Saccharomyces cerevisiae S288C: one gene and its partners. The protein of the gene in region 3 interacts with the protein of the main gene of each other region in a pairwise test. Each region holds a gene or a part of one and is shown on either strand. Other genes may lie near its edges.

Region 1 (4,449 bases), on a different chromosome or scaffold from region 3:
CGACCACAACGGTCATACAAGGTGAAATAAACAAATAATAGGCAGAAACTGTAAGTTTCCCCTCATTTTCCTTTTTTTCTTCTCCTTCCCCTCAGATTTCGAGGTTTGTCGTTCTTATTAGAGTTCTTTGCTTTTTTCTTTGCCTATTTCAATAAAATCTTACCAGTATGCTATGGAAATGGACATTATTTTATTATTATACAACATAGTATATTCTGACTAAAATGGAATTAGAAATTGTAACATTAGTATGTACTTATAATCATTTGTATCATTGTATTACTCGCCTTTTGATGTAAATTTTGTTTATATCTCAGAACATCTCCAACAGCAGATCAGAAGTTACATTGTTCTTGTAAGTGCTTAAGAAGTCTGTTAGCAAATTGAAATCTTTCAGAAGAATATTCCACCAAAATTTCGGAAAAGCAATACCAGCGGTAAAATATCTGCCATGCTCTATATTATGTGACTTTATTTTAGGTGCACCCCCCACCAGTAACTTATTCTCTAAATAATAATTAATGACACCATTGAATATATTAGTTCTAAATAAAAAAAAAAAAGCTAAGAAAAGAAATATTTAAACAACGCTTGCAAATCATACTCAAGAGGATGCTTTACTTCAGCAATATCATGATTGTTCAAAAACTCATTCATTGCGACCTTTCTTCTACTTTTGAAATCTAACTGTTTACCAAAAACCTTAAGGTTCAAATCATTAGCAAATTTTGTGAGAAGTGTAAGCTCACATCTAAGTTGAATGACAATTGTTGGTACAATTTTTAAGAAGGTTTTTAATGGGATATCCAACACAATTAATAAATTTTTGATTAGATTTTGCGATTGCACATAGGTAAGGTCTGTCAGAATATCAAGACCCAAGGAGTCGTACTTTTCCTTCGTTATATGTGGAAAAGATTTTCCAACAGTTTCAAAATTAAGTTCGGTAGAAGGATCACCATATAGTTTTTTTAAATTCAGCTTCTCTTGGAATACATCTTCTTTTAGTGATAGAATTGTTTCTTCGAGTTTTAATATTTCACTTTGTTTTCCAGCTAACTCGTCAGTAATTTTCTTATGTGTGTTTTCTGACTCTTGAATTTGAGTGCTCCATCTTGAAGCAATCAAAGCCTGATTCTGAAGTTTCTCAACAATTTCCTGGTGTTCATTCATGTAATCGTTCAATTTATCTTCGGCATTTTTCTGAATTTTTTCACTTAGTATTAATTTTTCTTTTAACTCGCTCTTCAGTTTTTGAAAGTTTTCTTCCTTGAGGTTCAGGATATCATGCCATCTCCTTTTTTCCAAACGAAATTGTTGTTCTTTTGTTAACGCCTCTTTTTGAAGATATTTTATTTTGTGACTGTGCTGCTGTTGCATAAAATGTAATCTTTCATTAATCAATTTAAAGACAGAAATGATTTTTTCAAGACGTATACGGTCATTCTTTTCCAAAAGTTCTATCTTTCCTTTTAATTGTTTGTATTGCTCCATATTTTCAAGATTTTTGATATCTTGAAAATCCGGATAAAGCTTGGCAAAACCGTTTTGAAACATCGAAGGGGAATGGCCACATTTCATTTCTTCTAGTATGAATTTACCAAGGTCTTTCTCAAAAAGAGAAAGATTTTGCATATAGCTGTAAACATCATTTAACCTTTTCTCGTAAAACGAACCATTATCATGTAATTTTTTATTTTCATCTTGAGAAAGTTGCAAATTGCTTTTCAGTATTTCAACTTCAGATCTTAATTTTACTATAGAGTTATTCGATTCGTTAATATCTTTTAGAAATTTATCATTTTCTTGCTGCAAGTTTAGGATTTGTTTTTGCTTCCTGTATAGTTCCGAAACTAAAATATTTCTTTGAGAAAAAGCTTTACATTTAGTTTTGGCACTAGTCACTTCATTCTTCTCCTTCTTGCTAGCGTTTTTGTTTTGAAAGTCTGTAATTTTTTCTTCTCTAATTTTTTTAATTTCTTTGCGAAACCGGTCCTGAACAATGTTGAGCCTTTTTGATGCAGCTTTTCTTTCGTTGTGGAATTCCTTCTGCAAGTCTTCTATTCTTTGAAGTTTAGCATCATTCATGCTATTAAGTTCTTCTAGTTCTTGAATCCTGTCATCCTTCTCTTCTAGTTTTTGTCTTAGTGCTTTGATCTCTTCATTTTGGGACTGGAGCTCATCTAATACCTTGGGTAAACTATTTTCTTTAGAAATACTTCCTCCATATGATGAAGAAGATAGCCTAATTTCTCCTAATTTCATATATTCGGACTGTTCTTCATCTGGAGTTTTAGATGAGCGAAATACGTTCTCTAGATGCGCAACCTCTATATTCTCCTCCAGACTCTCATTGCTTACAACATAATGCTCATCATTTGAGATTGCTGCGACTTTGTGGGGATTCGTGAGGAGCTTTGTAGGTGTAGAAGAAAATCTATTCACTTCAATACTATTGTGTACTTTGTATGTGGTAAATTTACCAGGGCTTACATTTCCTAATGTACTGGGCTTTCCTGCAGGTGACAGAGCCTGCGAGCCTATTCCTACAGTTGGTAAACCACCCCTTTGTAGAAATTTATTAGGCGATTTTAAAGTATTTTTTTCCGTAGCATTTTCCAATGTACTAATGTTACCAGAAGGTGAAGAGGCTTCTGAACCTGCCCAACTCTCTGAGCGGTTTCTTCGGGAACGCCTATTCGACAGTTTTGATATAATATCAGAAGAAATACTTTCCTGCACATTAGATTTTTCAGTGGACGTAGGTACTTCAGAGTCTATCCAAGTTTGTGAACGCCGCTCTCGAAAAGGTTTACTTTCTGGAGACTTAGTTAAAGTGCCATCAGTAACATGTCTCATCTCCCCCTGCTGGTCGCAATCCGAGTTTTGTTCCTTTAGGGATTCAGGCTTATTCAAAAATGCTAACCAATGATTCATATTCGGAGAAGTTTGTTGTATTCAACTATCCCATTCAAAATCCCAAACCGAGTTTTGCAATTCTTTCACTGGCAAATCTCTTTGTGTTCCTAATCTTAATATTGTACAATGGGCGGCTAAAGCGCGATACGCAAAAGAAATTTGTACATATACTCAAATTACTCATTAATACTTGGAACAAGATATAGTAGCCCTCTAAACATATACAACTAAATCTGGTAGACTTGCTGGCCGGCTACCCAAACTTTAGTGGTGTTGCGATCATCACCGTTAAAGAACCATTTTGCGATTATGTCTTCATTAGTAAGCAGCGGTGGGTTCTTATAAGGGTCTTGCCCTTGCTCTTGCTCTTGCTCTTGCATTTGATCCTTCTCCTTTAGCTGCCAATGAAACATATCCACGTTTGAGCCGGGAGCATTGGTATCGATCATTTGAGCGTCAAACTGCTTACCGACGTCAAAAGTCCCCAAGGTCTCATCCATACGCAAGACTTGTGCTCCGCCCATTGTAGCAAGAAATAGGCACTCGGAGACTGAAAGTTTTGCATGATCAGTTTCTCTCATTGCCAAATGCCTTGAAACTGCAAAGGCCTGCCTTCCGGTGGTGAGTATGCTACAAGAATGACCGGCTGAAACGTCGGTGCCTAGACCAACCTTTATGCCCTGGTCCAGCAACCATCGAACCCTACACTCTCCAGAAGTCAGAGAGGAGTTGGAAATGGGACAATGAGATATACCACAGCGACGCTGTTTAATCACACGCGCTTCGGCATCTGTTAGATGAATACAATGTGCCAATACTGTTTTTTCTGTGAGCAGCCCATATTTGTCGTATACATCAGTATAGCTCTCACATTCGGGAAATAAATCTTGAACCCACTGTATCTCCTCCTTATTTTCCGACAAGTGGGTTTGAACGTGTATGTTTTCATCCTTGACTAGCTTGGACAACTGTTGCATTAGTTCTCTAGAACAAGAGGGCGCGAACCTTGGTGTCACTATAGGATTTACGAGGGGATCACAAATGGTTTCCCGTATGTACTTAACAACTTTCACAGTGCTTTCAAAGGAAGTTTTAGTATCTTCAATATAATACTCGGGACCATTGGTATCCATGCACACTTTTCCAACAAGAACACGCTGCCCCAATAAGGAGCTTAGTTGAGCCAAGAGCTTAGTGGACTTGAGATCAATGGTATTATAGTAAGCCACAGTCGTTGTACCGTGAGAAAGCGTCTTACTTATTACCTTATTGTAAACTTCTCTCGCAATATTTTCGTTTGCTAGTGCGGCTTCTATGGGGAAGGTATACTTCTCTAGCCAATCCAGCAGGGTAGAATTCCCAAATACGCCGACATTTGGATATTGCGAGACATGGTTATGCGTGTCAACAAAACCTGGAAAATAAAAGCTGTTATTTCGAGTCTTGTCTTTTCCAATTATGTCAACCACCGTGACATCCTCTGGTGATAAGCTACTATCGTGATCTAAACAATCTTTGACAGGATCGAGT
Region 2 (4,768 bases), on a different chromosome or scaffold from region 3:
ATTTGTAAGGCAGATGTACCTGTGGTTGTACTATGCAAAGAATTACAATTTGGTGTTGGTGATAAAGGTAATCTTGTCAACCCCAAATCAAACAATTGGTCATCCACATTGGAATCCAGAATGTTATCTGATCTCGAAGCTAACAAGGGAATTCTAGAGTTATCCAATTTGGAGATAGATTTAGTTATTGATGAATTTAATTGGATGGTAGTCGGTGAAGAGCCGTATATGTCCTGTTTATTTTCGTTGTCCTTAGTTAGTGTGCTAGTGCTATTGATGGTATCCTGGGGGGTTTTAATAAATAATTTTTTATTGTTAGATCTTAGCGGCGTTCTCTGTAAGATGTTGTTGGCATTTTCCAGCCCTATGGATGTTGCATTAGTGGTAATATCCTTTCTTGCCTTCTGAAAATCCACTAACGCGCTGTTAGACGATATCAATGCTTTTGCATAAGGTGTACCGACGTCATTCAGAATTTTTCTTCCATATGGTGTCAACGACAGGGAGGAGAACCTTTTTGATGGAGATGTCGGCAGCGGTTGATTGAACATGAGATTCATGTCAATCTTACTCAGAGGAGTGCGTGAAAATGCGCCGGTGCATGAAGATGAGGGTGTTTTTCCATTACTCTTCAAAAGATTGTTCAAATCGACATTGCTAAAAACATTCTGTTGTTGACCTGGGTTCTCTGTGGTGCTTTGCTGAGCACCGTTAGAATCTGTTACAAATCGAAGTGGTGTCTTTGCCGGAGTTTTGTGAAAGAAATTGAAATTGGTGGACGGAGAGTCCAACAAAAATTCTTTGAATTGCTCTGGGGATGCAACCAAAAATTCGCTGGGTAAAGAGTTGCCGAACTGCAAAACAGAAGAAGGTTGAACGTTGATATCGTCCAAAGTCTCACTTGTATCTGTCCTTGTGACAGCAGGAGGTACAAGTGAACCTAGAGCTTGCTGTTGTTGTTGTTGTTGTTGTTGTTGTTGTTGTTGCTGTTGTATCTGCTGATGATGCGGTAATATACTGTTCTCTACCAACGACGATTCGTTGCTCGAACTGTTGTGAGCGTCTGTATTGGCAAAATGATCTTGAGTCTGTTGATACTGATTAGAAGAATAGGGCGTGGGGAATTGAGTCGTTGTAGGTAACGGACTGTTAAAATTATATTTGAATTCTGACATTACCTTCAAAAAATTTGTATCTGCATTATTGTCCGTAGAGGGCTGTCTTGAGGAAGTTGCAGTTGCCCCAGTTGAGGTATAATTTTGCTGGTAGCTTATATCTCTGTCCATAGTTGGAATCAATGCTCTATTCTGACCAATTTATTCCAATTTGGACACTTTTTCCACCCACAATGCCGATGCCAAATATTCAGAAGATCCTTGCAGCTCCTTAAGGCTCTGTCCTATTTGTTTTGTTTTGTTCTTGTTTTGTTGTTTTTTTTTTTTGCGTCCCGTTTCTTTTCGCGAGGAGGGTTACGCCAAACGCCAAAAGGCTTATGCGGGTAGTGACCTAAACTTGTTTACTGGAATGCTATTAACGATGCACAACAGATAATGAATAAATACAGATGAGTATCTAGGATGCCAGAAGTGTTCAACAATATTCAGGTGAAAAAATTGCCGACTAGGTTGAATAGTAAAAGCATACCGAAATGGATATGGATACGCAGGAGGCAGAACTATCGAGCCAGCTGGAGAATCTTACAATAAATTCACCACGAAAGCTACGCTCGAACGCGCACAGTAACAGTGGTAAAGTGTTTAAGGAATATGAAAGTAACCACGATTTTCAAGATTCAAATTTTACTTCCCAAGTTGTGGAACCTGCAATATCCGATTCTGTCAAAAAACCTCCTACAATGACAGTTTTGAACAACTATAGCACGGTGCATCAGAAAGTGCCGTCAGGTTTTTCAGGCACGACTGCTACATCTCATCAAGAAGCTCAATGGAAGCAGTATTTCCCTGGTATTGGTAGCGGCGGTGGTACCAACTTTGGTGGCGCTGTTGGTACTGCAAACAAAGTTCCTGAATCGGATCTCATTGTGAGCGACTTGGTTAAGGATTTATCTGGAGTTCTTGAAACAAATACATTTAAAAGACATTTAGATATGAAGAATAAAACTACTACTATGCAGACCCATGAAAACCATGATACGATTAGTATTTCACATTCTAAAGATTTCTTTAACGCTGAGAAGGTCTCATCGTCGTTTTCTGATGACAGCGATTCTGGCCCAGCAGCTGAGGCACATGATGTATTTGATGGCATATTACAAAAGCAAAAATCGAATTATTTGGTGGGTTCTTATCCAAGTAATAGCAACAACAAAAACAATAATAATAATAATAATAATAATAATAATAATAGTATTAATATTAATAATAAGGATAACGCTAGAACGAAGGAGGAGGACGAAGAGGACACTTCCAATTCTTTTGAATTTTCATCATCGTCATCCATGTCGTCCTCTCAAACTCAATCAGGCAGAAAATCAAAAGTTCTCAAGAAACCTCCATTGAACACTATTTCACCCGGTCAATTGGGATATCAGTTTAACCATACACACGGCGCATGGGATCCGCCGCTGAACCAGGGCTTAGATGTGTCGAGTTCACATTCTCTGGACAATACATCTTCCAACCAGTCCCAGTTCGCCACAATGGTACCAACTGGAGATAATCACACTAACGGTAAGGCACCTTCAATTCTAGATAAGAAGGCGTATGAATTAACCAGTACCAAACCAGGTGATGTTGGCTACCGCCAAAAGAAAATACAAGAAGAAGAAAATCTAGCAAATAGCGATGACACGCCCCTAGACACACCAAAATTTAATGACCTTTTTACGAAAAATGGCACTAGAGCGAAGGTTAAAGGACAAATGCGTACCTCTCGTTCAATCTCTAATTCCAATCTACTAGAAGCTCACAAGAAACTAAAGACCTTCCCCGCTGAACGGGTTGAAGATATTACGTCCATTTCCGAAGTAAACACCTCGTTCAACGAAACTGAAAAGCAGCTAATATCAATCTTGACTAGTAAACTATCTGGTTCTCCAAGCTATGATTCCGATTGGGAAAAAATCCTGAAAGTTGACCTATCAAGGGGCAAACTGAAGAATATGTTTGGCATGCAAAGACTACTACCGAATGTATTAGTGCTAAACCTTAGTGACAATGAAATGAACACTCTAGAAGGTATACCCTCGAACGTTGTACAGCTATTTTGTTCAAACAACAAAATAACGAGCGCACATTGTTCATTAGCCGGATTCCACGATCTGGAATGCCTCGACTTATCGTACAACCTCTTGAATACAAGTTTAAAATTTTTGTCACTTTGTCATCACCTGCAAGAGGTGAACCTTTCTTACAACTCCATCCAATCCTTAGAAGGGATAGGATCCTCCAGGATGAAAAAACTGAACCTTTCTAACAACGAGATTAATGGTATCATCGATTTCGAACAATTGATACTAACAAACAACTCTGTCGTGGGCGGCTGGTTGACCGTGGAAGTCTTAGATCTAAGCAACAATAACATAATTGGCGTAAGAAACATCAATTGCTTGCCCCGCCTGAAGGTTTTAAACCTCAATGGTAACCCGCTAGTTTCCATCGTGGAATCTTCTAAGATGGAGAACGGAACGTTGAGAGCGCTTTCCATCAAAAATACAGGAGGCGCGCTATCCAAATTACAAAATTACAAGTTGGATGATCAATTCACGTTCCCCTACCAAAATCTAAAGATTCTAAAACTGGACGGCTTCGCTCAACTTAGCAAATGGCAAAAATGGCCTGCCACTTTGCAAATTCTGGAGATCAACGGCGGCCTGGCCTCCTCTTTGCCGCGATTCTCTTCTCTAAAATCCACCAACTTATATTCTCTAACTATAGCTAATGTTAGAGACTTCACACACTTACCAGTGGACCTCTCCAAGGAACTACCGTTCTTGCAAGAGCTACATCTGCCAGGCAACAACCTACAAAACGCACACAAGTTAACAAAAACTCTCCCACGCCAATCAGTAAAATTTCTTGATCTACGAAATAACCCAATCACGACACCACGCCACGATCGCGCCAGCACGAGCTTGCATTACCGGCAGTTGCTCCAGCTTGCTGGCCTCTGCCAGCAGCAATGTCCCGCCCTGGCGACCCTCTGGTTAGATGACACTCCTGCCCCAACTGCCACGAATCTGTAACCCCATAACTATACCCGTACGCAGTACTAAAAATGTATGTAATTAGTAAATGTATGTAACAATTTCACCGTTTTGTGTAACAATTCATTCATTCATTCTTTTGATCCTTTAGTACCGTCCGCACATGATGTCATTTCCCCCTCATTTTTGTTTGCTGGTATGATTCCCCGCCCGGGCGACGGTACGGCTGTTATCCAGCGATGCGGGACTTCCGTCCACAGGTATCTTTTTCTCCAACTCCAACAGAGATGGAAAATGAGGGGCGGGTGTAGGTAAGCAGAATGAGGAGAAATTTGTAATGAAAATGGAAGTTCGGCGGTTATATAAATGGGGGGGGTTTGTCGGTGACAATTGACTTCACTCTCCTTTCCTCAAAAATTCTTGGGTGTTAGGATTAGAAGTATCTGGAAAACCAACCAAGAAAACTACAATAACAAAAATAAATAAAGCATGTTCAGTAGATCTACGCTCTGCTTAAAGACGTCTGCATCCTCCATTGGGAGACTTCAATTGAGATATTTCTCACACCTTCCTATGACAGTGCCTATCAAGCTGCCCAATGGG
Region 3 (4,290 bases):
TCATAGTAATCATCAGTGCTTGGTGGAGTATCATTTAAAATTTGTTCCTTATGTGAGTCATACCATGCTCTTTCCTGGGGGTCAGACAGTACTTCATAAGCGGCTCGAATCACAGCAAATTTTTGTGTGGCTTCTTCAACATTATCTGGGTTTTTATCTGGGTGATATTGTAGGGCCTTTTTACGGTAAGCTTTTTTTAACTCAAGATCAGAAGCATGCGTTTCGACCCCTAAAAGCTCATAGTAGCAGGTCTTCATCCGTTATTTTTGAAGTAGTAGGATATCACTATACTGATATTAACTCTTGGCTGGTCAGACTTTTACTATGTAAAAAGAGCTACTTTGCGATGACTTCAAATTTTTTTCACGTATATTTTTTTTCTATTCTTAAAACAAGAAAAAGTGTAAACATAAAATGTTGGCCGCTTAAGCCCTCCAATTTTACAACAAATGAATATTTTATACATACTTCCTAGAATATAATTTAATCTTATACCTTAATTTTTAGTTACAATTACAACAATTTATCTATTGACTCCGTTAATAAAAATTACTTCACCATCTTCTCCAGGATATGATCATACAGATGGTCCAGACACCTCTCCAAATGGTGATCTATGGAATCCATCCTGCGCGTTGACATAAAATCATAGTATGCTTGATCCGTAAATTTCTTTAGATTCATTTCTTGACTATATACTTGTCTATGCAGACGTTGAGCAAAATTGGACAGCATGATGTTTTCATATTTCAATTTGATAGCCAGCAACGGAATCTTTCGCCTTAACTTTGGATAAGGAATACCAACAGCCAAAACAATTTCTTTGACAGTATTTTGTAAAGTCGTCAAATTTGCTGAATCAATTTGTTCAACCATAAGGAAATTACATTCTTCTGCCGAAATATCGGGCCTTGACTGTAAGATATTTTTTATTGTAATCCTTTCAGAAGTATTTCCCTCTAAGTTTCCAAATCGCGACCTCAAATTATCCAGTTCCTTTGATAGAGTGTTTGTTTTCTTTTCAGCATCTGCTAGCATTTTTTCTTTATCCTTCAATGATGTTTCGTATTTTTCTTTGCTTTTTTCCCATGATCCTAGTCTTTCATTCAACCTTTCCAGCTTAATTTTTATTTCCTCATTACATCCTTTCAAAATTTCCTTCTCATCGATTGTCAACTTGTCAAATTTATCACATAGTATTTTGTTCTGTTTGGAAAGGGTTTTATTTGTACCAATTAAAGTATTATTTTTTTCTCTCATGGTCTGGATTTCAATTTTTTTATTCTCTAACTCATTTCGGAGATCCTCAGCTTCTGCTTTTGCATTTTTAAATCGCTGAGAAATGCGGCTCAGCTCTTCTTGCTGTGATGCACATAAAAACCCTTTAATATTAGGATATTTTTCTTGTAATATGTGATCTAATTTTGAAGAATTTTCCTCCGAGTCATACAAATCGAAAAACAATATACCAATCGGTATTTCAAACAGCTCGGCCTTTCTTAAGGAGTCAGTGAGACTTAGTAATGCAGTGTGTTTTGTCTGAATAGTATCATTGGCTTTTTCCAACATTTCTTTATTCAGCGAAAGGTCCTTTGTTAGGTTTTCAATCAATACTGTCTGTTCTTCAATTTTTTTTTTGTTATCTAAGGTTTTGTCGTTTGACTTCGTAGCTGCTTCGAGCTCCTTTTGTAAAGAGTTTGCTCTTTCCTCTTGTCTTAGATTATCTCTACCCAATTCAATAACTTTTTTTTGATACCCCAGTATCACATTTTCTAACATTCGAAAATCCTCTTTCGATAAGGAGTTTTGTAGAAAAATTTTGGCACCGTTACAGTCTTCTATCGAGATATCTGGCGATGTATGTTCATCAGTTGGTTGAGCAGAAGCCTGTTCATTTGCCCTCGTAAAATGCTTCGAAGAGTTTTCTCTAGGAGTAGAGTGTATGAAATTGGGTACATCCTTTTTATGAACATCAGTACCTATGGGAGACTTATCTTTTTCGTTTTTTGGTCGTTCTTGTAATCCTGGAGATTCCTGATAACTAGTATTTCTAGCATAATTCATTTGATCCATAGATGGTGATTTGTTCTCTTCATATGAGTCTCTAGCATTGGAAAAGTTGCAATTGATGACATCTTCAGGGTTAACGAATAAAGGTAAGATGGATTTTCCGACATGATTTTCATTTAGCCAGTTTTGTGGGATTGGCTCTCCGTCTTTAATTTCCCCATTCTCTGATACAGGAGAATCCAAACGCTCATGAAATGGAAAATTCATTAAATCGAAATCAGTCATGATGTACAAAAGACCTGTCACTATTTACTAGTGATTATTTTTTGTATGTGTAGATTTCTTCCCGAGGAACGTTAACGTTATTAGTTGTTTTATTACTATAAACGTTCCACAAAAAATTGCCTAACGCCTCACGTCGCGCAACGCGAATTTTCACAAGAAGATGTTATTTACAGTTACGATAATTGAATTGGATATGTAACGAGAAGTTGTACCTAAAACTCCGTATGTGTATATTACCATAGATTTTTCATGGTCTAGTCTAGAAAATAAAAAAATATGTATATACGCAATTGTTAAGAAAATGAGGATTAAAAGCTTGGAAAATATTAACTTTCACTGTGTCTTAAACCCGATCTATTCTTTTTAATTTTGGCAAAAATTGGTTCACTTATACCTTTATTGCCTTGAATACCAAGGCCCTCTCCACTTTTCCACCCAAGCTTTTCCAACATTCTTCTACCGATATTTTCGTTTCCAATCTCTGGAGCGTTTTGACCAACAATCTCACCTTCTTTAACATGAAATTTCCCTCTGATTGTTTTAGTTCTTTCGAAAGCAGCTTGTTCCTCCCTCGGTCTTCTTATATCTATTCTCATGAATACTGGCCTCTGCCTCATCAATTGGTCAATGAGACTATAATTCGGAGAAGACCATTTCGTTTTCTTTATTTTTTCTACAACAACCGACGTATGATTTGCTTTCCCAATTTTTGAACTCTTCATATTATAATGCTTCGCAATTTTCATTACGGTCTTGTTTCCATGAGGATCTAATGGAGGGAAAGTCAGTCTATCATTGTTCCTAGACAAAAAGGACTCAAATTCATCTTTAATATTTTGAATATGGAGTCCATATGGGTATTTCTTGAGCATATCGTTCGAATTTCTATTCTCCTGATCAATGAAATCTTCTTTGGCTTTTCTTTTCTTTGCTTTGGTTTCTATGCGTTTACTAAACTTACTTTGTAACGTCTCCAACGTTTCTGTATCCAGCGCTAAGGCGTCATCGATGAGTAGCTTCTTCTTCTTACCTTTACCCTTAGTTTCCAAGGACTTGGTTTCAAATGTTTTGAATCTTTCTGTATCATGTTTCAATGTGTATGCAATTAGGTCGTCCAGACCCTCTTCAATGTCGCTATGCACAACCGAGGAGGCCATATCTTCATCATCTTCATAGCTGTCGCCTTCATAGCTGTCACCTTCATCACTCGAATCAGAAATCGGAATATCTGAGTAGGTTGGCTCAGCTGGTTCAATTTTTGGTATAAGAGAATTTTTAATAAAATTCAAATATGCAGGTAATCTATCTTCAGGAAGACCTAACTCGTCTACAACGAAGTCTGTGAGTAAGTCCTGGTCAATCCAATGAAAGTCGTAATCTCCCAGTAATCTGTAACACCGTAGATAATATGAATTGTCTACTCCGCCCATTCTTATATTGGAGACCACTATGTCATTAGTATTTATGACAAAATCTTCTTCTTTGAATCCAAATTCTAACTCTTCGCTAGCAGGAGATGGCAGATTATCATTATTGCCTTCGAATGTTTTGGTACCATTTATTGAAAGACATTTTATATCTTCTGTCAACTGCGGACTAGGGCTTGGTAAAAGATTGTTGTCAGCTCGGGAATTGTGACGTTGGCCAACATAATTAAACCCTTGATCAACCTCAGAACTTGCTGAGGATTCGTATAAAGGTTCACTATTATTCTCTGTTTCTATTTCGTAGTCTAGTTCATCATTGTCCGAGTCGCTAGTATGCATACCATGTAATACGTTGGAAATGTAACCAGCAAATGGATGATATGTCTTATTACCCTTATTTGGAACGTCAACACTAATTTCCTTGCTTTCGTTACCTTCGGAAACGCTAAGTTCAACCTTTCCAATTGTTAAGATAGGATCGAACTCTATCGCAACTTCTCTTGGCCTTGCGATTTCCTCGATACATACTCTTTTTATTTTGGTTAGATCCGGCGATTGCTGAGCCTCT

The links. The genes of interacting proteins can lie anywhere in the genome.
Region 1: the proteins of CNM67 (region 3) and ADY3 interact in a two-hybrid assay, tested with the Saccharomyces cerevisiae proteins (2 studies listed by BioGRID).
Region 2: the proteins of CNM67 (region 3) and NUD1 interact in a two-hybrid assay, tested with the Saccharomyces cerevisiae proteins (2 studies listed by BioGRID).

What each region holds. Positions count from the first base shown.
Region 1 is NC_001136.10:25,839-30,287, forward strand, and holds ADY3 (Ady3p), read right to left. Parts: upstream 2,938-4,449; coding exon 565-2,937; downstream 1-564. Other genes in the region: GTPase-activating protein LRG1, read left to right, coding at 1-38; GUD1 (guanine deaminase), read right to left, coding at 3,147-4,449. UniProt on the Saccharomyces cerevisiae protein: Involved in the pathway that organizes the prospore membrane (PSM) during sporulation. Mediates the assembly of the DON1 ring structure at the leading edge of PSM during meiosis II.
Region 2 is NC_001147.6:1,035,186-1,039,953, forward strand, and holds NUD1 (Nud1p), read left to right. Parts: upstream 1-1,648; coding exon 1,649-4,204; downstream 4,205-4,768. Other genes in the region: NDD1 (Ndd1p), read right to left, coding at 1-1,286; aldehyde dehydrogenase (NADP(+)) ALD4, read left to right, coding at 4,655-4,768. UniProt on the Saccharomyces cerevisiae protein: Involved in astral microtubule organization by binding SCP72 to the outer plaque in a cell-cycle dependent manner. Required for the mitotic exit by facilitating the binding of TEMP1 to CDC15.
Region 3 is NC_001146.8:222,175-226,464, forward strand, and holds CNM67 (Cnm67p), read right to left. Parts: upstream 2,296-4,290; coding exon 550-2,295; downstream 1-549. Other genes in the region: JJJ1 (Jjj1p), read right to left, coding at 1-257; SQS1 (Sqs1p), read right to left, coding at 2,622-4,290. UniProt on the Saccharomyces cerevisiae protein: Involved in the pathway that organizes the shaping and sizing of the prospore membrane (PSM) during sporulation. Required for the proper formation of the spindle pole body (SPB) outer plaque.